Mytilus edulis: one gene and its partner. The protein of the gene in region 1 purifies or fractionates together with the protein of each later gene. This does not show direct contact. Links are inferred from orthologs where the notes say so. Each region holds a gene or a part of one and is shown on either strand. Other genes may lie near its edges.

The links.
Region 2: the proteins of DNA ligase 3-like (region 1) and bifunctional polynucleotide phosphatase/kinase-like purify together in Homo sapiens (co-immunoprecipitation; 5 studies listed by BioGRID and IntAct, with this or other methods). This does not show direct contact. The link is inferred for Mytilus edulis from reciprocal best matches to the Homo sapiens genes LIG3 and PNKP.

Annotation. Positions count from the first base shown.
Region 1 is NC_092356.1:45,823,665-45,836,898, forward strand, and holds the start of DNA ligase 3-like, read left to right. Parts: upstream 1-6,889; 5' UTR 6,890-6,979; intron 6,980-13,234. UniProt on the Homo sapiens protein: Isoform 3 functions as a heterodimer with DNA-repair protein XRCC1 in the nucleus and can correct defective DNA strand-break repair and sister chromatid exchange following treatment with ionizing radiation and alkylating agents.
Region 2 is NC_092348.1:24,552,422-24,565,960, reverse strand, and holds the start of bifunctional polynucleotide phosphatase/kinase-like, read left to right. Parts: upstream 1-7,506; 5' UTR 7,507-7,629; exon of another isoform or gene 7,630-7,801; intron 7,802-8,167; exon of another isoform or gene 8,168-8,186; intron 8,187-12,478; 5' UTR 12,479-12,575; intron 12,576-13,536; 5' UTR 13,537-13,539. Other genes in the region: malonate--CoA ligase ACSF3, mitochondrial-like, read right to left, coding at 21-166, 1,041-1,201, 3,294-3,485, 3,994-4,695. UniProt on the Homo sapiens protein: Plays a key role in the repair of DNA damage, functioning as part of both the non-homologous end-joining (NHEJ) and base excision repair (BER) pathways.

The DNA of each region.
Region 1 (13,234 bases):
TATATAGATATATAGGAAGATGTTGTATGTGTGCCAATGAGACAAATCTCCATCCAAGTAAAAATTTATAAAAGTAAACCATTTTAAGTCAAGGTACATCCTTCAACACGGAGTCTTGGCTCAAATGGAACAGCAAGCTATAAAGGGCCCCAAACATGACTAGTGTAAAACCATTCAAACAGGAAAACCAATGGTCTAATCTATATAAAAAGGAGAAATGAGAAACATGTATGAACTACATAAACAGAAGACAACTACTGTACATCAGATTCCTGACTTAGGACAGGTGCACTATGCAACTTTTTGCAGTCAGTTCTCAATTTTTATTCCCTGTAAATACAGAAGAAAAATGCCAATTAGATACACATTTTGTCAATCAGTCTTTTTATAGCAGTTAAAACCAGACTCCAAATAAAGAAGTATACTGGTTTACATCTGTTTGTTCAAAGTTCAAATTTGATACCTGAATTTATATCTCATAGAAAATGTGCATTCTTATTGTTATACAAACTGACCATTTTTTTGCCTACATTTTGATCCAATTGAAAAGTTGCTTGATAGGTTTCTAATGACAATATCTATTTCCAATGGAAGGTACATTTTATGATCACTTCTGATCAATGAAGTGTTCATTGGAATACAAACACACTTGGCCAAGACTTTCACCTAATGTTTGATTACTAAGTCTTGAGAAATAAAAATACCAGAGTTTATATACTTCATAGAAACATAGCAAAAGAGAACAATATTTTAGGCTCACCGTATAAGCTATTAGCATCATTTAGAATCTATAGTTGTCTTTCATCATCTAACAGGTTCTAAAAAGACATCAGGACATTCAATTGATGAATAACCTGGGGGACAAGGCAGAAGATCATTACTGGCTTATTGTTTATTGCATATAGGATTAGACTGAAAGAACTGTTTAGTCCCTTTGACTGCCATAATATAAAAAAAAGAAGATGTGGTATGATTGCCAGTGAGACAACTCTCCACAAGTGACCAAAATGACACAGAAATTAACAACTATAGGTCACTGTACCACCTTCAACAATTAGCAAACCCCTTACCGTATAGTCAGCTATAAAAGGCCCTGAAATGACCATGTAAAACAAATCAAAATGAGAAAACTAACAGCCTTATTTATGTACAAAAAAATGAACGTGCCAAAAATAGTGTATTTCCAATTATGTTATAGTTTAGAATTTCTACTGCCAAATTTTACATCCAAAAAATAAAATAAGAGGATAATCAAACAATTCTCTAATTACCTGTAACTAGAGGCTCTCAAGAGCCTGTGTCGCTCACCTGTTAATGTGTTTTCAGATGTTGGCCATCTTCGTTAGTAGGCGGGGTCATTAGACACTTTTAAAAAAAAAAGATACCCTAGTATTATGATTGTGGCCAAGTTTGGTTAAATTTGGCCAAGTAGTTTTAGAAATGATTTTTATACAAGTTACAAAAATGACGAAAAGTTGTTCAATATTGACTATAAAGGGCAATAACTCCTTAAGGGGTCCTCTAACAATTTTGATCATGCTGACTTATTTGTAGATCTTACTTTGCTGAACATTATTGCTGTTTACAGTTTATCTCTATCTATAATAGTATTCAAGATAATAACCAAAAACTGCAAAATTTCCTTAAAATCACCAATTTTAGGGCAGCAACCCGACAACAGGTTGTCCGATTCAATTGAAAATTTGTGAGGGGATATATCTTATTCTGATGGACATTAAAATCTTGAAAGATTTGCCCTAAATGTCTTAGTTTCAAAGATATAAAGCAATTTTACCACTATGTTCTACCGGTAATTTTAGCCATGTCGGCCATTTTGTTTGGTAGGCTGGGTCATCGTACACATTTTATAAATTGTAAAACACAATGATAATTGTGGCCAAGTTTGGTTAAATTTGGCAAAGTAGTTTCAGAGAAGAAGATTTTTAGAAAAGTAACAAAAAATGACGAAAAGTTGTTAAAAATTTACTATAAAGGGCAATAACTCCTTAAAGGGTCGACTGACCATTTTGGTCATGTTGACTTATTTGTAGGTCTTACTTTGCTGAACATTATTGCTGTTTACAGTTTATCTCTATCTATAATAGTATTCAAGATAATAACCAAAAACTGCAAAATTTCCTTAAAATAACCATTTCAGAGGCAGCAACCCAACAACAGGTTGTCCGATTCGTCTGAAAATTTCAGGGCAGATAGATCTTGACCTGATCAACAAATTTACCCCGTCAGATTTGCTCTAAATGCTTTGGTTTTTGAGTTATAAGCCAAAAACTGCATTTTACCCCTATGTTCTATTTTTAGCCATGGCGGCCATCTTGGTAGGTTTGACGGGTCACGCCACACATTTTTTAAACTAGATACCCCAAGGATGATTGTGGCCAAGTTTGGTAGAATTTGGCCAAGTAGTTTCAGAGGAGAAGATTTTTGTAAAAGTTTACAGACGACGGACGCCAAGTGATGAGAAAAGCTCACTTGACCTTTCAGGTCAGGTGAGCTAAAAAGGAGCTGGGCTAAAGGAACATTAAAACTCACAAGTTAGAAATAAAAGGACAATGGCATGGCTAAAAAGAATCTGTAAACAAAGCAAATCCACCAATACACATTTTATACTGCAACTTGTTGTGCTAATTTCCTAAATATAGTAACATAGCTATATTTTGTATAATGTCAATTTCATCATGGAACACTTTCTCCACAATTAGGGGTCCATTAAGTGATGAAAATAAGTTTGACATTTGTGTTACGATTTAAAAAGCTCTCATGCAGTGTAATAATTTATGTTGCAGCATAAAAACAATATTAGGTCAATTTCATAAAAGTATAAAAAAATGTTTTACTCATGCAAAACTGGAGAAGGGCAGGGCTGCCAAGTCTCAGGCATTTAGCGTTAGACTCAAGCATGTTTATGATTTTTTGGTGGAATTTTACTTTGATCTATTGTTTTTTCTCTTTGATCTTTTCAATTTTGGCCAAATCTCATGCCCGCATTTGCTTCATGAAAAGTTGACATAACTGGGAGGGCTCGGTAGAACCTTGCCTTTTCCCAGTTTCTCAGTCTCATACAAAACAGTTTATATTTTCCTGACATTGACCTAATATTGTATATATCTGGTTTACCAACTCCAGAAGCAGTTATACACTTATTTTGTCTAACAGTATATATGCAGATCTAAAGCTTGCTGCACCTCAAGAAAGTGGAAAATTACATAAAGACGACGAGGAATTGAAAACAACAAAAAGTATAACAGCTGGTTTATTGTTAACAAAGCTGTCTTCTTGAAAAAAAGTTGTGTGTTCCATATTTGTACGAATTTTAAATAAGTTAGTCTGAAACACAATGGAAAAACAAAAAGTCAACAATTCTGGCCAGACTGAGTTATAAACAAGAGATGACAATATTAATGTTGCTTTCTTTAATTTTTTCTTGGTGGAATATATAATTTTGTCAAACGTCATCCCAATATGCTGGTTTTATTTAAAATTTTACTGCGACGTGACCAAAGCTTAGTATTGCGGTTTACCTTTGCCTGCTGGTCAACCAGATTGTAAAATTGATTATATGATTGGAACATTTAAATTTACCAGTTGTAATTAATTTTTCCCAAAATATTTTTTTTTTCTCACATGAATTATATTAAATATATTTGTCTTATCAAAACCTAGCTTTTTGTGTTCTGCTAAGGGAGCCAGAGGCCCCCCTTTTCTGTGAAAAATTTGGTTGATTATACAGGGAATCACTGGAATGGGCCCCCTCTTAGGCAGTCAGTGGGTCCCCACTAATGAAAATTTCGATATCCACCACTGGGAGCAACCATTTAACTTCAAGGGGGTTTATGTTTTATTTTTAGTCAGAATTTTTTTCACGATCAATTAGATTATTTTTTCAAAATTTTACACTATACTTAAGGTATGTAGGGAATTGGCATTCAGAATATTTTTTTTTACAAATTTAAACAAAAACCCCACTAGAAGTTAAATTGTTGTTTCCTAAGTAGAGTTTACATTTTAATTTAAAAGCAGTGTTGACAATATTTATGAGACCATCAGAGCTCATACGAAACACTCCTGCAGATTTCAAACCTTCCATCATAAAAAAACTCGTAGAATGCCCTCAATTGCATTGGAGACCTTTGATATAATTAATAAAAAATGTCCTTTATTTATTCAAGATTTAGTTGTAATAAAAAACAATTCATATAATTTCAGGTATGTGAATGATAACTGAGGTACCTAGACCTAGAATCTCAAGTTATGGTAAAAGATCCTTTAGATTTGAGGCAGCACAAGTATGGAACTCCATTCCTAATGAGGCTAGACTCATGACTTCTTTTGACCAGTTTAGGAATTATATAAATTCCTGGTGTGGGGGTCAAAAATGTAACAGCAGTTCATGTCGTTTCCATCCAGTGCTGTCTCAAAGCTGAAATTTCTTTCTTTCTTTTTATAATGGCCTTTTGCTCTGCTTTTATGCATTTATTGAATGTATCTGCCACTAAATGCTAGTGCTTACATTTATTTATTTATTGTTTTTATGCTTTTAGTCTGTTATTATGCTTCAAATGATGCTTGTCATGCTGAGCTTGGTAGAATTCCACTCAAAAATAAAATTGTTTTTTCAAGCATAAATTTTTTAGAGCATATACTTTCATCAGAAAATACACTTGTAAATCAAAATTTCTGTTCCACAAGATTTTAAAACCCCTGTATCCTTAAAACTTCGTGCATTTTACACAAATTAGGATATTCATATCTTGTTGATTCACTAAACAATTTAAATGATAGAGCAGCAATATGCAAAATATGCACAAGTGCACATCCTTTAATGATTGAAAGGGGAAGACATCTAATTAATATTCCTAGAGAGGAAAGATTATAACTGTCCTGTCTGTAAAAATTGGGAAAATGAGGATGAAAAACATTTCTTATTAAAATGTAATAGATTTACCTCAAAGCGAGAAATATTGGAAAATAAAATAAATGTTATATTTCAAATACAGCGTAACATTACCATTGATGAAAAAATATCTCTATTGGTTAATAATAGCTCAGCATTATTACTAGACTGTCTTCCTCTTTCATATCAGAGTGTCTTAATATAAGAAATAGTGATCTTATATGATACATCATTTTGTAACTTTTCATAATAGCATGATATGTTATCATGGAACCTTTCATTCTACCATGTCAATTATTATAGTTATATGTAATGGCATAGGTCATAACCATTTATTGTTAATGAGTTTGTGCCAATAAAAATATTTGTATTTGTATTATTTAATGATTTTCAAGTGATTTGCCGACTCCCCTGTTCAATGCACATAGAGGCGCTTGCCAAATGAACTTTGACTCGGGAGGCTCACAGATCAAATATATTTGCTTCCATTATACTTGCATGCTTTTTTCATTTTTATTTGATAGTATTTGCATGAAGCTGCATGATTTGTTTATGTGATAGTGTAAAGCAAAATTAAATCCGGGTGAAATTTGATCCGGAGGAAAAAATGTCACAGTAGTTGTTGTTATTTTTTTATCCGGTGGAATATATTTCCCTGGGATCTTTTTTCCTTTGCCGTGAAATTCTATCTGGGTAGTTATCTTATTGAATAGTTATTAGAAAAAACTTATCCTTTAAAAATACTATGAAATAATAATAGTGTATTTGAAATAAAGCGAAATTGTTAAAAAAAATGTATTATAATGGGAAATAATTTCACAAATTATCCGTGAAAAAATTTCCTGAAATATTCAAGTCAATATCATCCTTTTAAAAAAAAAATTATCATGAAACATAGGGAAGAAAACCAGAAGTAATTTCAAAGATCCTTATTGTGAAAATAATATCATGATTAAATAAGGTTAGTGAAATACATGTAAAAGTGAGTTGTTTTCAGATCTCAGTACAAATATAAATTTAAAAGTAAGGTAGAAATATAGTTGCATTACTACTGTTAACAGTAATAGAAGAATTTGATTATGATGATATTTTTAACTATATAAATAGTTTTGTCTGGGGACAGAGATGTAGTTGTTGATTATATGGAAATCAGATAAATCATAGCATAACAATATATTTGAACAAAAGCATGTTTAACAGCTGGATAGTTTTTACCTGTGAAATGTTATCTGTCTTATTAAATCAAGTTGTAAGTCAACTTTTTATATAAATAAATATATAAAAAAATAAGATTCAAGGACAAACACTATAAAATAGATTCAGAAATGTATTATATTAATATCTTTAAAATATAAATTGCTCATAATTATCTCCCTTTGATAAATTATGCAAATTTGGTCTACCTTTGTGAAACATTTTATAATTATAGTCAGGTATATCAGGGGGATGGGGCTATGGTTTTTTTTTGGAAAAAAAAGTTTGTTTCCAGTTTTTGGAGAAAAAAATAATTTGTTTTTGATTCTGAGAAAAAAAAAATGTTTGTTTCACCCTCAGCTGCCACTATATGTAATGCTAAAATTGAAAGAAAAAAATTGTTTTCGACTTGTCGCGAAAAAAATAGATTGTTTTTCACAAATATATACCGGTACATACTATCCGCATAACACAGATAGATTTTCACTCCTCTGGAAAAAATCAACCTGTGAAATACCATGCCTGGAAAAAAATTACCGGGACAAATTATCCACAGGATAAAATATCCCATAGGAAGAAATAAACCGTTACAATAGTCGGTTAAAGAGCTCACCAGAGCTCATGTTTTGTCTGTTATTGTGTATATATATGACGACTCTGAATAAAATTGTCTTACTTACTTACTTTCTTACTTACTAACACTACTATGTAAATTTCCCTTAATATCTTGTGAGATTTGGGTAGATTCTCGGGATTGCACTCAGGTTTTTATAACTTTTCGCTCTCCTTTTTAAAGATAAATTTGTCTGTTTACATTGTTTTGAAAAATCGCAAACCTCTGCAAAATTGTTTTGTGTTGTGTTGAAATTTCAAGTAAGAATTCAAAAAACAAATCCCCAGCCGTCAAAAACAGGCGTGTCATCCTGCATGCATCATTGTATTTTTTGCAAAATGTTTGTGCGAAAAGAATGTGTTCCAATGACAAGAACTGCCACTTCGGCACTTGGTTGAAAACTTTTTACATTGCGTATTATTTTTTTTCCATAATTTTTCTTAGTCAACTTTTACATATTATACCCCAGACCGTGTAAAGAGTAGGTATCGGACTCCTGAGTCTCTGATCCTTTATATCTGGCTTTGTAGAATCTAACACTAGCAATTCATAGTTTATTATAATAAATTACAATTATTAATTAAGCAAATATCAACAATATTATAAAGATAAAAGTATTCAAATGTAAATAATTTAAAACTCTCATAAAAGTGACAAAATATGGCGAGGTCTGTGCAGCAAGACTGAAGATAGACATTTTGTTCTATATATCAGGTTGGGAACAAACCCTCTATATCAGTTGAACGGCAAACGATTTAATGGCTTCTAAGTTCAAGACATTGGTCACGTGATAAAAGGTCAGAGTTTACGATTTTTTTGTAAACGTGCATGCCTCGTGGTTTTTAGACTCGTATCGTCTTATTTGTACTCGTACATTAATAAAAACCAAAGTGTTCAATTCTAGATTGAATAAGCTTTCTTATTTTATATAATTATAATAAAAAAGTATTGTTAAAATGTTATAAATTCACGAGCAAAGTGAAACTTTTTTTCGGAAAATTTGCGTAGGTCCACGGAAAATCCTTAATAAATCCTTAAATAGGTTTGGTAACGTGTTGAGAGGTATAAAATATGAAGTAAAACCATTTTTTGCTCCTAATATTACAATATCAGATCACAAAAACCCCGGATACGCAATTCTGTCAGATTATTCGTGGCGAAGCGGAGATCAAAGGGAGATAACTCGGTACGCGCATCGTAGGAAATTGCAAGTTCACAATAGTAAATATGAGTAAAATTAATGATTGCAGATCTATTTCGACGAGTTCTTGAATACCGTTCAATATTCCATGTTCCTCTACTGTTAAACATTAAAATAGTCATGGAAGTTCAAGTTCTTACAGGTTTTTGAACACTTCCAAAGAAGACACTTACCAACATTTTATATCAGACTGACTCTCTGAAACTTGAATATATTGTATATATTCTCAAACACCCTTTTAGTAGATACAAGGATACAAGATGGGTTTATCAGTCATTTGTCAGAAGAACCTGTGTAACAATAGAAGCAGAAGCAGAAGATTACATTTAAACAAAAATATGGGGGAAAAAAGGAAATACATGTATATAGTCTTCAAAATTGTTACCATTACCATAGATTGAAAATAAAATCAATCTGAAGTAGCCAGAAGTACATGTACAATTTTTGTTTTATTATAGCTGCTTTAAGATACAGTTGCAGATGATGATGATTGGAACCTCCTCTTTTTATGGCAGATTAATGCATTTGAATGGGATCATGCATATAGTTGGAACCCTCCTTTTTATCCTTAGTTGAGAATACCACCACTTATGTTTAAAATTTTCTGGATTCACCCTGAGATAAGAAACTACATAAGTTGTACAAGTTCTGTTGCTTGCCTTAATCAAGAGAAAAAATCTGAACATTCAAAGAACCAGAAAGGGATTTAAAACATAATAATCAACACAAAGATCACTGAACAAAAGCTGTATTGTAATCTGATATATCCTGCAGTTATCATAAATCCTGTTATATGTATAAATATTTGAAGTTTTGCTTTATATTTTTTCTTCTTTCTTATATTTGAATTCAAAAGTCCTGCAACCAACTGTTAAGTGCTTGATAATCAATTATTGATTGGATAATAACATCAGCTGACCAGTAAATAAAATTTGAAAATGCTTAGTTGAAATAAAATAGTGGTATTATGTCATTAGATATACTGAATCAACTTCAAATTTAATCCAAATTCACATTTACCTGCACTAAAATGCATAGTCAATTGAACTACAAAAACCTGAGACTACTTCAATGTATAACATAGAGATTGTGGTCACCTCCCATGTTATAGTAGTCTTAAACAAAAACAAAACTGACTTCACTTAAATACAGTATGTTCAGAATTTTTTTGAAAAAGGACAAAGTTCAAAAAGAAATTTATTATTCTGATATCAGAAATAATCTCATAGTATCAAAGCAGAATGTCAGTTCTTTTAATTGAGATAACCAGTTTAATCACATTATTTACTTTTATAAAAAAAAATGATATCTGGATTTACAATCATTGACTAAGCTTGTCATCAACTCACTTACTTTACAAATGCTTTTAAAAGTTAACCTGTCAGTACTAAAATAAATAATTGTGGTATAAGACAAGATATTTTATTCAAATTAAAGGGCATATGAAGAGCAAAGTAATGTACATGTATTACAATGATTTATATATGTGTATATATAATGGATCAATGATGTTGATATAAATCAGATAAATATGGAGATAACCAACTCCATTCTTAGATTTTAAACCACAGCTAGTTCAGAGCCACACATATATTTGAAAAGGCATATAATAATTATATCTTCAATTAACAGGCAAATGTTTCCAAATGCCCAATTTAAACATTATCTGTACTCTCTATATATATTGATAACTTTCTGAGTTCAAACCATTTATTTTAAATTGCAACACAGTCACTTTTCAATGCCTCTAGGTTTTCTTGAATAAAAAGCCAATTAGATTTGTCACTTGTGCTTAACTTTTCACAACTTTTTTTTAACTTATTATTATATTATAATTAAATTCTTTTCTTAAAAACTTATAAAGGGGAAACTGACATTTATGGTATAGTTGCCAATGACATAACAGCCTGGAAACTTATCACCAGAGTCCAAGTCTCTGTTAGCAGTGACAGTTAAATTACAAGTCACTTGACATACATCAACAATTAATACATTCCATTGTTTTAAGGCAAATGAGGAAAATAAGAGTAACAAAAGCTTTTGCCTTACTACATGCACAAGAGAATATTAGAAATTATAATATAAATTAGAAAATATCAGAGGCAAAAAAGACAGGACTTAGCCACTGGACTTTTAGTAAAGTACCCTTACTAACCCTTAGAGGAGCTGCTGTATACTAGAAAAAATTATATTGATGATTTGACCCCATCAATCAGCATTTTAGCATTACATTATTGTCAATTGCTATCTGCTCTATTTGTTCCAACCTGTCATGAGAGTCAAAATGTATTCCTAGGGTGGGAATTAAACCCATGTACGTTCATTTAATTTATTGTTCTTTGTGTACACAAAATGTACATGTCCATGAAATATATCAAATGCAAAAAATGCTGTAATGTATCATTACACCCTCATTAGTTAAGGACCAAGTAAAAGAAGTCCCTGCACCTACCTAGACGTATTTCTTGGGTAAGATTTATTATATAACTATTGAAAGTATAACACCATAAAGGTTATTGGTAAGTATATAGTAACATCAACGTGCAATTCAAGTAAACAAACTGTCAAACATAAACAATCTACCACGTGTTTGCTGTGCTTGACTCATCAGGCTTATTTACACGAATTTTTGCTCAAGCAGACTGTTAAATATGTCCGTTTACGTTATGGGGTCTGTTAAGAATGTATTTGCTGTTATAAATTGTGTATGCATGGAAATATAAGGAAGATAACATTGATTTTTACCGTAACTTTTGAATACACAACATTCCCAAGGTATCCCCACAAAACACATGGCTACTTTGTAACGACGGCTGGTAACGTGTAGCCACTTTCTAACGGCAAATGCCATTGGATGATCTTCAAAGATCAATAATAAAATTGCTAATAAATGATTGGATACGAAATTCTGTCAGATTATAAATAGGTGAAAAAATGTAAACATTGAAATCCGCCATCTTGACGTAGGAAACAAACTAATTTTCAGTCTTGGATTAAAGGACATTGCGCACATTGCCAGCGTATCATGCATAAACAGTCATCTGCAAATATATCTTTCAATTTGTGTTTTACACTTACTTTTCTATGTTTTAGTTAATTTAATGTTTTAATTTACTACAGAATGGGACATCGTTCTCAAAGATGCCATAGAAAAAATTATAGGTGGCGCTGTTTGTGGGCGTAAACATTTTACATACGGGTTCTTTTTTTGTCGACAAATTGACCTCTATCTGTCAGATTCAGGCGTTTGCCTTCCAACTGTATATGGTGATTATACCTGTATAGAGGGATAATCCTTCTATAGAGGGGTAAATGTATCCCTCTATAGAGGGGTATTTTTGTTTAGACTGGATTTAAATCAAAATAGGGCAGAATGGCATTCTCTACTTATTATGGCAGTAACCTGGAACAGTTGATGCACCAATTGATGTACTTAATTTAATATGCACATGCCCAGTTTGATGCTTATCTCAGGCATGTGTCTTAAACTTGCTAGTTTATCACCAGGTAATTGCCAATACTCTTTTATTGCTGTATATACAGTCTAATCCTTAACACCTTCATAGATAACTCGAGGCTATTTACCTTTTGACATCAAAACAGTTAAAGGAAACTTCCGTTTTTCTCGGACTTTTTCGATCTAAATTTCGAGTTTCTCGGACTTTTTCTCTGTCAGTATAAATTTTGTAAACAAAAATTTCTACTGAAAATTTTTCGAGGTTGACATTTTGAAAAAGCGGAAGATTTCAAATTTTAACGGGAGGGACGGAAGAGGGTCTTAAAAGCGGGAGATTTTGACTCCCGCCGGAAGAATCACATGTATGTTATCTGACTAAATATAAAATCTATTGTTCACCATGATTGAAAGCTGTGATGATCAGGTAAATTCTACTCACTTATGCCTCATTGAACAGAATTTCTATTGTTAGATTTAACATGAAATTTAAAGGTCAACTATTCCTTTTGTTGTTGATCAGGTGTTCAGATAGGTATACAATAGATTGCAAGTTTTGTCACTTTAGCAGAAAACTGGTTATCCCAATTTTTAGTAAAGTGCATATGTTGATGCATATAATGCTAGAGATTATAGCCAATATAACTAGAAAATGCCATTCTGCCCTAATTTGCTTTAAATCCAGTGCAAACGAAAATATCCCTCTATAGAGGGATAATTTTATCACTCTAAAGAAGGATTATCCCTCTATACAGGTATAATCACCATCCAGGGGGTTTGTTCCCAACCTGTATATGGACCATAATTTGCTATTGGGCTCGTTTCCTATAACGATAGAAAAGTGATAAAAATGTGTATTACTGTAAGAAAAGTTGTAACTACATCTAAAGATGCCTTTATTTTTATCAACATACAAGTGTATGCTACTCTTCCCTAGAAAAAAAATTGAAATTAACAAATTTCAAAGATTATACGACAGTATTTTTGTGTCGTTTCTCGCGTTACTTTTCGCTTCCGAAGTGCATAACGCTGACTGATTTATAGATAATCGTCACCGGCAAATTTGTAACTTTTGCTTTCAAATAATAAAGAACATCGACTAATAAGAATAGTCAGAAGAAAATGCCGAGAACTATAAGTATTTCAGTAGCAGGTGTAAGAACACTAGCGTTACTTTGGTTTCCAATTTCGTAACGCAAATTTTAGATAATGTAATCTGCTTTGTTGTAATAGAATTCTTTTTTTTTTTAATTTTTATTATTTATAACTTCCAATTTACAACATAATATACACAAATATAATAGCAATATATAATATATAAATCTATAGATATTATCTAATCATTACATCTTTCTATTAAGAAGCAATTTTTTTTTTTTTAAATATACAAATATAAGATAAAGAGTAAAGCAGTTTGAACACCGGAGAGAGAGAGATAGAAAGAGAAAGAGAGTGAGAGAGAATAGTGTGGTGAGTTTTCAATATAATTCATCTAGAAATTGAATTCTATTTTAGTATAGTAAATACAATGAAATACAGCATTTTCATTTATAACATGTACATGATGTATATACATTTTTGTACTTAACTAAGCATGCTAAGTAATATATCAAAAGCATTCCATTCTCTGAGAAACTGATGTTCACATTTGTTTTTCATAGCAATATTTTTGTCCATTGCATAAACATATTTTATCTTTTCTTTTATTGAGTTTATTGTCAGTTTTTTTTTAAAACATCTGGAATTATAAATATATTGCTTTATGGTAAGAAAAAGAGTATTTTCTGCATTGCCTTTTGATATTTTTGCAGTGTTACCAAACAAAAAAACTTCTTTTGTAAAAATTACACTAATTCCATT
Region 2 (13,539 bases), on another chromosome or scaffold:
ACCTATTTAAGTAACTTTACCAGGAATTCGTTCTCCATGTAATGGATTCGTGAGCACCATGCCCAGCTCAGTCATCCCATATCTCTCCAGTAATGTATGTCCACTAATCACCTTCCACTTGTCCATAATTGTCCTTGGTAAGGCAGCTGACCCTGATACCATTAACCTAAACAAAACTTAGACTGTAAACTGAGACGTTTTCATACAATTCAACTATTAATTGTCAAGTTTGCAACAAAATAAGATTTTTTATACAAACAAATTTGCATTGTAATTTTTTTGTACCTTATTTGTATGCAAAAATTCCTGAAATTATAATAACTAACTTGCATTTTTGTCCCTTGTTAATTTAATTTGAGATTAATCAAAAATTCCTGAATTTACAGCAAAATCATGATGACAAGATCTACAAATATGTTAGTCCGAGATTACTCTGACCGGCCCCAGCTTGTCTGGCAAAACAGCCGTTGGACGTCAGAGTAATCTCGGACTAGAAATATGTCAAACAGACTGAAATCATCATCTGACTGTTTAGAGTTATTGCACAGGCACTTGTTTCTATCAATGTGGAGTTTACTATCAACACCCGTAGGAAGGTGTCATTCTACTCCTTTAACAATGTGTAAGGATTATAGCCCTTTATTGATGATTTTTACCCATTTGGAAAAGTAGAAAATTGTTCAAAGCAAAATTGATTGTTAATGAGACAAATATCAAAATGATGTTAATTAAACCAGCTATACATGAGGTCACTGTACATTCTTCAATCATGAGCACATTCTTCAATCATGAGCACATTCTTCAATCATGAGCAATCACATAACCTAATGTTAGCTATAAAAAGGCCCAACATGACAAAATGTGTAAACTTTATTGTTTTATAAATTGTTCTAAAAGGGACTTGAATCACTGTATTTTAAACCATAAAAATAAAGACATGTTCATCTTTTAATCTTCCATCTAAATGGTCTTATGTTCTTAAATTGGAAGCTAAAAACAAACATATTTAGTAAGAATTATGAGACAGGAAAGTTTAATACCTTATATTTTCTAGTGAGGCAGACAGGAACTGAGAAGCTAGTTGGTTCTCCTCTTCACTTTTTTCATAGTATTCTATCAACTTGGCATAAATTGTTGGCACAGCCATAAAAATAGTGATGTCTATCCCTGTCTTTCTTTTCACTGCAAGTTTCTCCCAAACCTAAAACAAATAACATGATGATTGAGTTGATACAAATCAATGACAGCGAGTCCAATTTTTCATTACATTTATGATAAAAACTAATTTATATAAAATGAGTCTTTCTATTGGAAAAAATTTCCAAATAGAAATAATGCATTTTGCTTTCATTCTTTTGGTCAAACAAATAGCCAGAAATCTTGAGTCTTGTATTAAATAAAAAATGTCCATTTACATTTTCAGTTCCCTTTATCATGCTGTCCAAGCAATCAAATTGGTATAGATTGTATTTTAGTTCACCAGGTTTAACATATCTTTCTTCGTTTGATTGTATAATGTTTATTCATGTAAAATTGAGAATGGAAATGGGGAATGTGTCAAAGAGACAACAACCCGACCAAAATAAAAAACAACAGCAGAGGGTCACCAACAGGTCTTCAATGTAGCGAGAAATTCCCGCACCCGGAGGCGTCCATCAGCTGGCCCCTAAACAAATATATACTGGTCCAGTGATAATGAACGCCATACTAATTTCCAAATTGTACACAAGAAACTAAAATTAAAATAATACAAGACTAACAAAGGCCAGAGGCTCCTGAGATCTCAACCCTCCCCCTATACCTCTAACCAATGTAGAAAAGTAAACGCATAACAATACGCACATTCAAATTCAGTTCAATTAAACTGACTGAAAGATATATGAACATCAGGCACAATCCTTCCCGTTAGGGGTTTAGTATCATACCATCATAACATATATGAGAAGAACATAACCTGTGTCATGCCAACAACTGTTTTTAGAATAAATGTGTTTAGTTCCGATGCAAAGACCTTATCAGCCAAAATATGCAATCTTTAATGACTTGACAACAGTATCGTAATTATATCCCTTCTTAATAAGTCTATTCAAAGGTTTTGTAAGTTTCTGAGGTGAATACTGACACCTTTGTGCTTTATAAAGAATATTTCCATAAAAAATTGGATGTGAAATACCTGAACGTATTAGAAGTCTGCATGTTGAGCTATATTTACGAATGATGTCTTTATACCGATGATAAAATTTAGTAAATGTTTTGACTAGTTTGTGATATCGAAAACCCTGGTGTAATAATTTTTCAGTAATACATAAATTTCTCTCGTTAAAATCTAAAACATTGTTACATACACGAGCGAATCGTACAAGTTGAGATATATAAACACCGTAAGATGGTGACAAGGGAACGTCACCATCTAAAAACGGATAGTTAACGATAGGAAATGAAAAATCATTGTCATGTACATGTATGTAAACATGGTTAATGAGACATAATTATCTTATACTGAATTGTTTTCATTTTAGGTAAACTTTCTATTTCCAAATTATCCAGTCACAACATTTAAACTGTATCCAAAAGGATAAAATGTATTTTTACAACAGTTCAAGATGTTTCTTACAAAAAAAGTTGATGCTTTTTCATATTTCTGAAGACAGTATGAAACTCTAACTACTCATGTGTAATGTTTTACTTTATCAAACTCAATGTATAATTAACATTGTTCCACTTGCCAGCTGGTGTTGTACCTGTTCAATACCCATCATATGAATGGCAACACATGCATACAATACATTGAGATCTCACAAAACATGTTTAACCCCACCTCATTTTTGCACCTGTCACAAGTCAGGAGCCTCTGGCCTTGGTAGGCCTATATATTTTTTTAAATTTTAGTTCATATATATTTTTTTAAGTTTACTATGGAGTCCATTTTCACTGAACTAGTACACATTTTTGGTTTTGGGTCAGCTAAGGCCCACCTCAGGTGCTGGATTTTCTTACTGCGTTGAAGACCCTTTGCAATACACCTTATCGCTAATCCCTGCTGACCCGGCCACTTGAACTTTTGACGCATACAACAATCACTTTTCCATTGTGATGTCAGATATTTTGTTTTATGACGTCAAAATTTTACGGGAACCTGTGTGATATGCAGTAATGGCGGACAAATGGTGATAAGGGGTATTGGTGGCCTTTGGCTGTTATCTGCTCTTTGGTCAGGTTGTTGTCTTCTTGACATATTCCCCAATTCCATTCTCAATTTTAAAATATAGTTTTAAGACTGAAAGCTTTCTTACCACTTTTTCATCAAACTTGGGCAACATAACACATGTTGCCCCACAGTATAATGGTACCATTAATGCATTAACTACACCATGCACATGATGCAAGGGTAATACATGTAATATCACATCGTTAGACGTCCATTCCCAAGCTGACATCATTCCTGTAATGTTACAGTGAATATTTCCAAATGTCAGTACCACACCCTGAAACAAAAATGCACAATATTAAGTTCTTATCATGCTTATCAACCATTTAACTAGAAAAAACATATCAAGGGTAACAAATCACTAAAAGAATTTTAATTTCTTTTAAAAAAAAAAAATCAGTTGAATTAATAATTAATAACAATAATTTGCAGCATCAAATCTCCCCAACAAGGAAAGAGAGACAACTCTAACATTACAAGTAAACCTTTTGATTATTGTCAGGATTGTAGGAGGAATACATCAGTTGAAGGAATAATTCAGTTCTCGCAGTTTCCTGTCTCTCAACAAACATATAACTAAATTTTAATGCCTTCGTGTATACTGTTTTTATGGTAATTTTTTGGTTAATCACAGATTCACAGTTAACATGGTTAAGAGTCTAGTCATTGTTAACATATGGTCCATGTAAACTATTTTTTTTTACCAACATCAATTTTTTCACTCAAGTCGGGAAGCAAGAAACAAATACATATTTTTTGGGCTTATAACTATTTATTCTATGTACCTTAGGTCTCCCTGTGGTTCCACTAGTATATATAATCAAGCTTGACTGGTTTTTATAGCGGTTATGTTTGACCAGATTTTTACAATCTAAACTTGTTTGTCTATCAATAAACCAAGCATTCTGATCAGCTTCATAATATCCAGTATAGTTTTCCTTCTCTAATACTCTGAGTGGAATGCTTAATTTTTTTGTTATAGGTTCTATTTTATAAAGGTGGTCTGCTGTGGTTAAAACTATTGAACATTGTGCATCTTGGATAACATATTCTAATTCATTTTGTGGATGACTTTTACAAAGTGGAACTGCCACACCTCCTGCCATCCATGTGGCCCATTGTGCCACAACATAAGATACATCATTGTCACATAGGAATGCCACATGGGTATTTTCTGGAAGAGTTTTATGCTTGCTATTACCATTGACTTGATCTATAATTTCCTGTGAAAGTGTTTTACTATAATGTAAAAGATCCTGGTATTTAAAGCTACCATGTTGGTCTATTATCGCAACTTTGTTTGGATACTTCTCTGCCTGAAGAAAGACAGGCTGTGGCAGATCTTGTGTGGCTTGGACACTGTAATACCTGTGAAAACATCTTCTACAAATATTTGAGCTTATTGTCTTCGTTACTTGTGACACAGATGTAAGTGATCTGAATGAACCACTGATCTTCACAATAGAATAAATTCTTCTGACTAACATCCTGAAAAAATATATATATATAATATACAGTATAAAGTAATAACATGCTAATCATGTAGGATTTATCACACATGTACATGTATATATGGTCCGAGTACACAGTTATCGTCCTTTGATTTTCGTTGTCCACGAATATAGTCCTTAGTGTGGACAGTGTGTTACTTGCCAATTTTTGTTATACCCCTTCCAAATTTATTTTTCCATGTTTTATGCCTCATATAGCAAGTTGGTGGTTGGAATGACACTGTAAAAAAATTTGGGTCATAAATATTAATGTAAAGTAGTGATTAGGTCCAGCTTAAAAAGGTCCAAAATTAGCACTTCGGAAGCTGTCAAAAGATTTCAAGACCCCCTTAACATAAAATTGTCCATATTTTGAGTTAGAGCTGATGGAGTTTTCTATTATTTTGATATAATTTGTCCCAAAAGTAGTACAACACACTGTAAAAATATTATTGAGAAAGCGCAGGTGGGATTTTTTTAATTTTCATTTATTGTCTAAAAGAAATGCACTACAAAATAACTGTGTACTCGGACCATATATGAATAACCATGATAACAAAATAAAGTATTGTGCTTTAATACTAAACTTGTGTTTTTTTTTATATTCTAAATTGGGGCCACTTAATACATGGAACTTGCTGTTCCGTCTGAGCCAAGGCTCTGTGTTAATGGCCGTATTTTGACCTATAATTGTTTACTTTTTACACATTGTGACTTAGATCATGTACATAGAGAGTTGTCTCATTGGCACTCATCATGCTCATAGTCATAGAGTCATACCAAATCTTCTTATTTCTATTAATATGACAGATAGTTTTTGCATATATGTGGAACGAGGTGAAGTTCACTACTGTGTCTCGTAAGTCTTTATAGGCTGGGTATTGATCCTTTTTTTTATGATGTTGCTATGCATTTTAATGTAGATCAATATTTGACACTTTAATAAACTATTATTTATCTTATCTTATCTTATCTTTACTACATGTAGCTAGCCATTATAAAATTCACACCCAGGCTGATAACCCATATCAGCCATATGTAACTTCACATGGTCAGGCCTCAGGCTGATATGGGGTTATCAGCATGGGTACATTCATATTTCAATACCATATTTACTAGTACATGTACATTTGTATATGATATATTAAAATGAGACTTGGTCTTTTCTAATCCAAATAATTAATAATTATTTGGATCATAATTTATAATGACTATGCCTTTTCCATATTGCCATTATCAGCCTTTGTAAATCAAATTTTGACCCATATTTTAGCCCTCAACTAATATCACAGGTTGATATATAAAAAAGAAGATGTGGTATGATTGCCAACAAGACAACTCTACACAAGATACAATGTATGCAGGTTTCAGGATGATACCCTGGCGGATATGGAAAAGGCCATCTATCATTTCTATCAATCTGTATATAAAAATCATCTATAAGAACACTGGAAAATATTATACAAAAGGGTGGTAAAGGATTATTTTCGTGCAACATTTTCAGACTTATTATTGCATATGTTTTCGTATTTTTACATTTTATTTCTCGTGTTTGGTTTGATCATGTTGATGTGTGTGCTTCATTTTTCGCCTTATTTTTATCCCGTGTTTCGTGTTCGTACTCTTTATTTATTCTTGTTTGTCCTGCATTTGACTCCAAGGTAAACCAGACTAATCTATAGGCGGCCTGGATATTGTCTTTGTATGGTAGGCAATAAAATACATGAAATTGCTATTAATAATCATGATAATATATGTTTCAAATCAGATGCAACTAACAGACGCTAAAAGTTGACAACAGGGGTCTTCATTTCTATTAATAATGACAGCATGATCTCCTAAATTGACTGAGTCATAACTTCTAAAAAAATATCATTAATATTAACGATTTTGTTTCTGGTGCTTCATTTTTACAAATTTTTATTTTCTATGCAATGTTTTGGCAATTTTTATTTCACATGTTTCCATGTTCACAAACCCCCTTTACCATGTTTACCACCCTCATATAATTTATATGATGAATACATCATTGACATGATTGATTAGTCCAAATAATTATGACGTCTGGAACTTAAGTTTATTTTTTTTCCTGTGACGCCTTACTACAAATGTACATCGTAGGTCTCATAGGAAGGCACCACAGAAAAAAAAGAAAAAAAGTATGTTTTTTTTTTTTATAGTTTAAGAGTATGTGTTTATTTAATGACTACATTCAATCACCATGTTCAATACACAATATAAGATGATTATGATTGGTTGTTTTTTTTAAAGGGGGGGGGGGGGTTACGCCCATCACGTCCCCACCTTCTTCTCTTCTTTTAGTTTCCGCACTCCATCATAATATTGATGACTATGTGCCGTGCACCTGGACCCGCCCCTGGTGGTATTGTACTCGGAAATCATCAATATCTGCATACTGAATGTCCTTAGATGTATGAATGTGCCTATATGAGAGCAAGGATTTGTTTAGTAAGACTTTCTATAACTTGAGTATAAGATGAGAATGAATGGGTTTTTTTTAGTTCTGGAGTCAGCTTTCATGAGTATGAATATGACTGATGTCTCAGTGATGGAATACCAACAAGATTTTACCTAGAAACAAGAACATCTAAGCAAGTGTTGTGTATGAGAGTATGCAGCAAAAAACGTTTTCAGCAATTTTTGGTGCTCCACATATTGACATTCATGGGGGCAGCCATATTGGATTATTCCATTTGTCATTCATTTAGATTTTAGAATAGTATTAAATATGTTGGTTTTATAAATAGCAAGTGTGAAAAATGTTACAGCTGAAAAACACTCTTTTATATTCCTTTAACTCTGTCCATAAAAGTATCAAAAATATCGGTATCAATACAAATGGACCAGCCTGGATTGAAAGGGGAGATAACTCAACTTGGTGATGTGGACCATGTGAAGAAGTTTTTATAAGTAAATACGAAAATGTAGATTCTGTGCCCACATTTGTTTGCATGCTATATTTAAGAAAGAAAATGCATATCAAGAGAACCAATCAAATTTAACAAAGTACGCCTTTCCACGAAAAATGGCACATTTTCTAAATATTTGTCATTTTGCAGTTTTGATACAGGTAGTTTTGCAGGTAGGGTGACTATGGACCATTATTGATCACACTTAAAAAATGAGTTAATAAATTGCAAATTCAATGAGATTAAAATCTAAAAAATCCTTGTTCTTGCTCTTTTTCTTCCCGCATTTAAAACAGCTCCATACATACTTGGATCACAGGGCATGATCATGAGGGGTTTGTTACAAATTTGCTGGGTTTACTAGCTATCCATACGAACCCCCAAAAAATCAATAAGCATGATAAGTTTTAAGCAAGAAATGAACTAAACATTGCTCAGTCACCAATTCAAGTATAAACTTTACAAATTAAAAATTTAAGCATATATCCAATAATTAGTGAATTCAGATCAGGAGTTGCCAAACAACCAACATGCTTTACCAGAGTGATATTTTAACTTTATATATCCAGGTTCATTCAGGACTTCATTTTTCATTCAGTAGGTCCGACGTTTGTCACAAAGTGCAGGTTCCAGACTTGGGACACCACAAAAATTGTGACGGGGTTATCGTAGTTTAAAGACACCAAACCTTTGTCTGAATTATTTATTTCTATGGTATATTATGTCTCTTTGACTGATAAGTTTTGACATCCGAGTTTTGATTATTCTTTGGTATCTTCCGTCTTTTTTTACTTGTATCAGTTTTGCGTACCATATTATAGTATCTTCCGTCAATAAAAATTAGTAAGATGTGGTGTGATACCAATGAGACAGATCACTACAAGAGACCAAATTACATCGAACATGAAAAGTTATCAACCATATTTTTCGTCTATGTTTATTATTTTCGTTTCAAAAAAAATGTGGAATTTTAGGCTCATTCAGAATTTTAATTTTCCGTTCAGGTCCGAGTTTTGACACCCCAACAATATTTTTCACATATTTTTTTTTTATCATGTTTATGTTATCATTATATTGAACTTTTTGTTTCTCGAAATCAAAAGTTGAAAGATATCTATTGAATATTAAAAAAGTTATTGTAGTTAGAATTAGTCCGACATAGATTTTCAGGTCCCTTCAGGTCTTCATTTCTCCGTTCAGGTCCAACTTTTGGAATCGAAAAATTGATTTTTAATTTCAAACATTTAAATTTTAATGAAATATGAATATTTACAATTAATAAAATTACAACTTGAAGAAATTCCATCCAATAATAAAAAAGTTATTGCAATTTGAATAATTTTAGTCGTATATTTTCAGGTCTTTTCAGGTCCACTTTCAGATCTTTAGTGTAACCCCTACTGTATAACATATGACCTCCGGGGCATTATTTACTATTTCTATTTACTGTTCTGATGTTTTTTTTTAATATCAATGTGCAACCCGCATTAGACAAAAAATAAAAAATGAAAATATCAGCATGAAAACGTTAAATAGTGAATATATGTAATGCGAAGGCATATATTATAGGAATAATTAACAAATAATTACTGGACATTTTAGATTTGCACAAGTAATTTTTTTAACTATGAGGCTCCAACTTTCCATTAAAAAAATAACTCTGCAATGGAAACACTGTAAAAGAGTATGTGTTTTCTTTCTTATACTGCATGCATGTATATATTTTTTTCTGACTAACAATGCAAGACTTTTATTAATTTTGTGAAAATGCATGCATCTGTGTTGTGATCAAGTACATGTAGATTTAAACAAACAAGCTAACAACATGAACAAAGTGAACTCTGCTGACATGGCAGGCATGCATGGTTGTTGAATAAATGCTTTCTTTTGCATGACTGTGTACTTATTCATGTTATTTGTTTTACTAACTAATTGTACATCAGTCATGTCAGTGTTCCAGCTAGGCCGTTTTCAGAGGGCGCCCGCCCCTTTCCCGAGTGCCGCCTTGTGCCCTTTTTACAGTTTCCAGGGATCCCTGCCTTTTTTGAAGATCGATTGTATATATATTATTTTGTTCGTATTGATATGATCCGCTAATTACTAAATTTTACAATTGTTTAGTTTATGTACAGATTATTCAAAAACAACAATAAAAAATATAGCTCACTGATGAGCTAAAAAAGATATTTCAATTTTAATGCCAAAAAATGGCATTTTTGCACCAAGGGGAGATAATTTGGAGCTTTTTCAATGATATCTACATTTTAAAAGTCCGCTGGGGCCAACACGAATTGATTTTTTTGGAATGATTTTTGTACCATATGATAAAGTAACAGCTACTTGAGGTAATCAATAAAATTGTAATGAAAAATTAATGTTTAAAAAATTTTTCTGAAAATCTTATACCCTCGAGCCTCCTTAAATAGGATCAGTCAGTCGGCAATTATCTTTGAAGAAATGTGCATACGACAACTTGGGCAAAATTTGCAATGTTTACCGTAGTTTCATGGAGAAAACGTAATGACAGAAAGTTGAAAACCACAATCAAGTCATGGAAGACATCGTTTTACTTGTTCTCTGTGAAATAAATAGCAAATTCATTGACTGCCCTCATTTTTTATACGAAAATAACAAAGTCGGCCGCAATATAATAGACAACTTTCGAGTTCGATACATTTCCGTCAAAAACTCTGGTTTTAGTGTACGTCAATTGTGCATTTAGGGGTGTCGTCACTTCCATTCCAATGTTGAGCGAGCGGTTGGGAAACTATAATTCTATATTGTACGAATTATTTGGCAAATTGAATTTTCAAAATTGACAATCAGCACTGCTGTCATCAGGGAATTGTCATTAAGTATCTACAGAACAACCATTATTTCTAGTTTATCCTGCACAATGATGATCACTAAGACGCTTGATGGACGTAAATAGTGCAGGGATACAGGCAACCCCCTATATCTGGTAAATGATGTCATAAAGGCGCACATAATTTACAATATTTTTCCGGTGACGGATGAACTCGAAAGTGGTCTATTGTTTGATAATTTTTACATAGATTTTCTAAGTACTGTTTATAATCCTCCAAAGAAGGAGCACATGAATAAAGAAAGATAACTCAATCTGATTTTTTTCCCTAGCATTGAGTAAACCACTTAACATATATTCTAAAATATGTCTACATACTTCTTGCTTAAGAATATATATGTTTAGGTAGTTTGAGTTAAATGGGAAAAGTCAAAGAGGGTCTTAGTAGCAGTGTTAGTAGGGTGCCTTGGTCATCTGTTTCTGTTTTCTTTATTTTTAATACAAATTTTCACTGTTGCTATATCCTAATTTATATAACATTGTGCATTTACTGGGCACAGCTGTTTTGTGTTGTATTGCCATTAAGCACAGCATAGGTAGAAAGGTGAAACTGGTAAGGTGTGTCAGAACATAGAAACAGAATGAAGCAGGACACTTTTCTAAACATGCTGCATATAAAGCTTAAATGTGCCAAGCAATGATTTAAAAACTTGTGTGACAAGCTGCTTGACAAGTTTTTCAGCCTAAAAAGTAGAAAGATAGAGTTCTAGAATCATATTCAAAACAGTGTAGCTGTGGCCATTGATTGACAACCTTAAATTATCCCATTGACTGGGGCAGATTATGTGAACGTTTGTCTGTAACAACCGCTGCTCACTATGTACTTGTTAAAGGCACTTAAACTGTGGGGTCACAAAAGGTTCTAAACACCTAAATAAAGAAATTAGAAAAACTAATCAGGAATAACACGAAGTTTTGATTTATATCAATAATATAAATCAAAACATAAAGTTATTCCTGATTAATTTTTCGAACTATTTTAAAATTAAAGGCGTTAAGAACCTTTGGTGACCCCACAGTTTCAATTCTATAATAAGTAAGTAGTGAGCAGTTGTCCTTACAGACACACGTTCACCTAATCTGCCCCAGTCAATGGGATAATTTAAGGTTGTCAATCAATGGCCACAGCTACACTGTTTTGAATATGATTCTATGTGGGCTAATGATGTAGTTCTTGTATAACCAATGATTTCAAGGAATAAACACAATGTTTGATTAATATCTTTATAAAAACATGCCCTTTTCATATTATCATAAATTAAATGCCCTTTTTCAGGATTGGCACCCTGCCCTTTTGAAATCCTAGCTGGAACACTGTACATTGAATGTATTTATTTAAATATCAAATTGTAAAAGGTAGAATTACAAGTATAACAAAACCAAACACAAGGAAAAATCAAATTTGAAATTCCCTTTTCAAATGACAAAATTAAAAGTTCAAACACATCAAATAAATGGAACACATGCATGACTTGGTACACATGTACTGGCAATTCCTTATGTAGAAAATATTGGATTAAACCTGGTTTTAAATGTATAATTCTAACTTCTACATTGTACAACAATGTCACTATTATGTGAGAGCAAAAACAAACAGACAAAATTTAAACAACAAATGAACAATTGATGGCCATAAGTTTGGCTAATTTTAATTAAAGGATCAAGGAATTATACTGCCTACACCATGGTCTACTGGCATGACTGGCCTAAGTGAAAAAAATTATTTGAGGATATTGGGCAACTGAAATGATTTGTTATGTGACAATATTAATTACATCTGTTAATACTCACAATATTCTGATTAATACAAACCTTGTAATAATTTCTGAATTTACAATGTCAAGGCTCAAAGGTCATCAGGTCAGAGGATAAAATAATAAGTATGGTGTACAACACATCATGGCCTGTCTGTTGCTATGGTCTTTTTAATCAGACTCAGGTTTTATATTGTCATGATTTGACATGATGATTATCTCGATTTTAGATTCTGGTTGGTAAGATGGTGTGTTAGAGGATTATGGGTAAGAAAGATGCAGCTGGCGTAAGGGCAGGTCCAGTAGACCAGTATAGAAAACAGATAGGTAAATGATTGACAATGTTATAGTATTGTCATGATTGTCATGATCATAATAGTTTTGTCTGTATGTACAAAATTAGACAGTCGACACACGACACATGTTTGGTATTATGAAAGCATAATAATCATGATAATAATAATCCCTACACAAAACTTTAAAAAAAAAAACCTGAAAAGCCAGGACATTGGTTTACAACAATGAAACTGGTACCAACATGACCAAGGAAAATTACATTGTCAGACAGTCAGATTGCTGACAGCAAATTAAATAAGTATCTAGTCTTTTAACATTCATCAATTTTCATGTTAATGATATTGAAATCATTAAACTATTAAAAATTGGTGGCTGTGCTTCTGTCATTGTCTGTTGTAGAAAGATATACTGTATTTGTTATACATGTTATATATAATACATCATTATGTTTGTGTACTTGTATATGTAGTATGCTATTTATATTAAAAGTCAATTTATTTCCATTCAAAGTGCCCTAATATAATTTAACATGTTCTATTTAAATGATTAAAGTCAGTTAAAAAAAATTGGGTCAATTGTCATTTGTCGGACATGTTATTTTTCAGCAATCCTTAATTTTTAAATTTTCAAAGAAACTTCATGCTTAAACAAATGATAAATGCTAACTCTTGCCATTGAAATCTGTGTTTTTAAATTTGATTTAGGACAAAAATTCAGAACTAGCATATTAAAAGTTAACAGCAGTTTGTTAAAAGTAAACATTTAATGTATCTACATTGTACCTTTATTTGGATCATATTAACTTATGATTTGTCTACCTTTATGTTTCTGTATGCCACACAAGGACTCAGAAATGGAAATGAAATGTTTGATGTTAAACGTTAAATGTTTAATGTGTACAATGTATGCCTGTTATTATAAGGATTGACTTATAAAATAAACATCATGATAAAATTTTATCAAGTCCATTAAAATGAAAATATATTTACAGGAA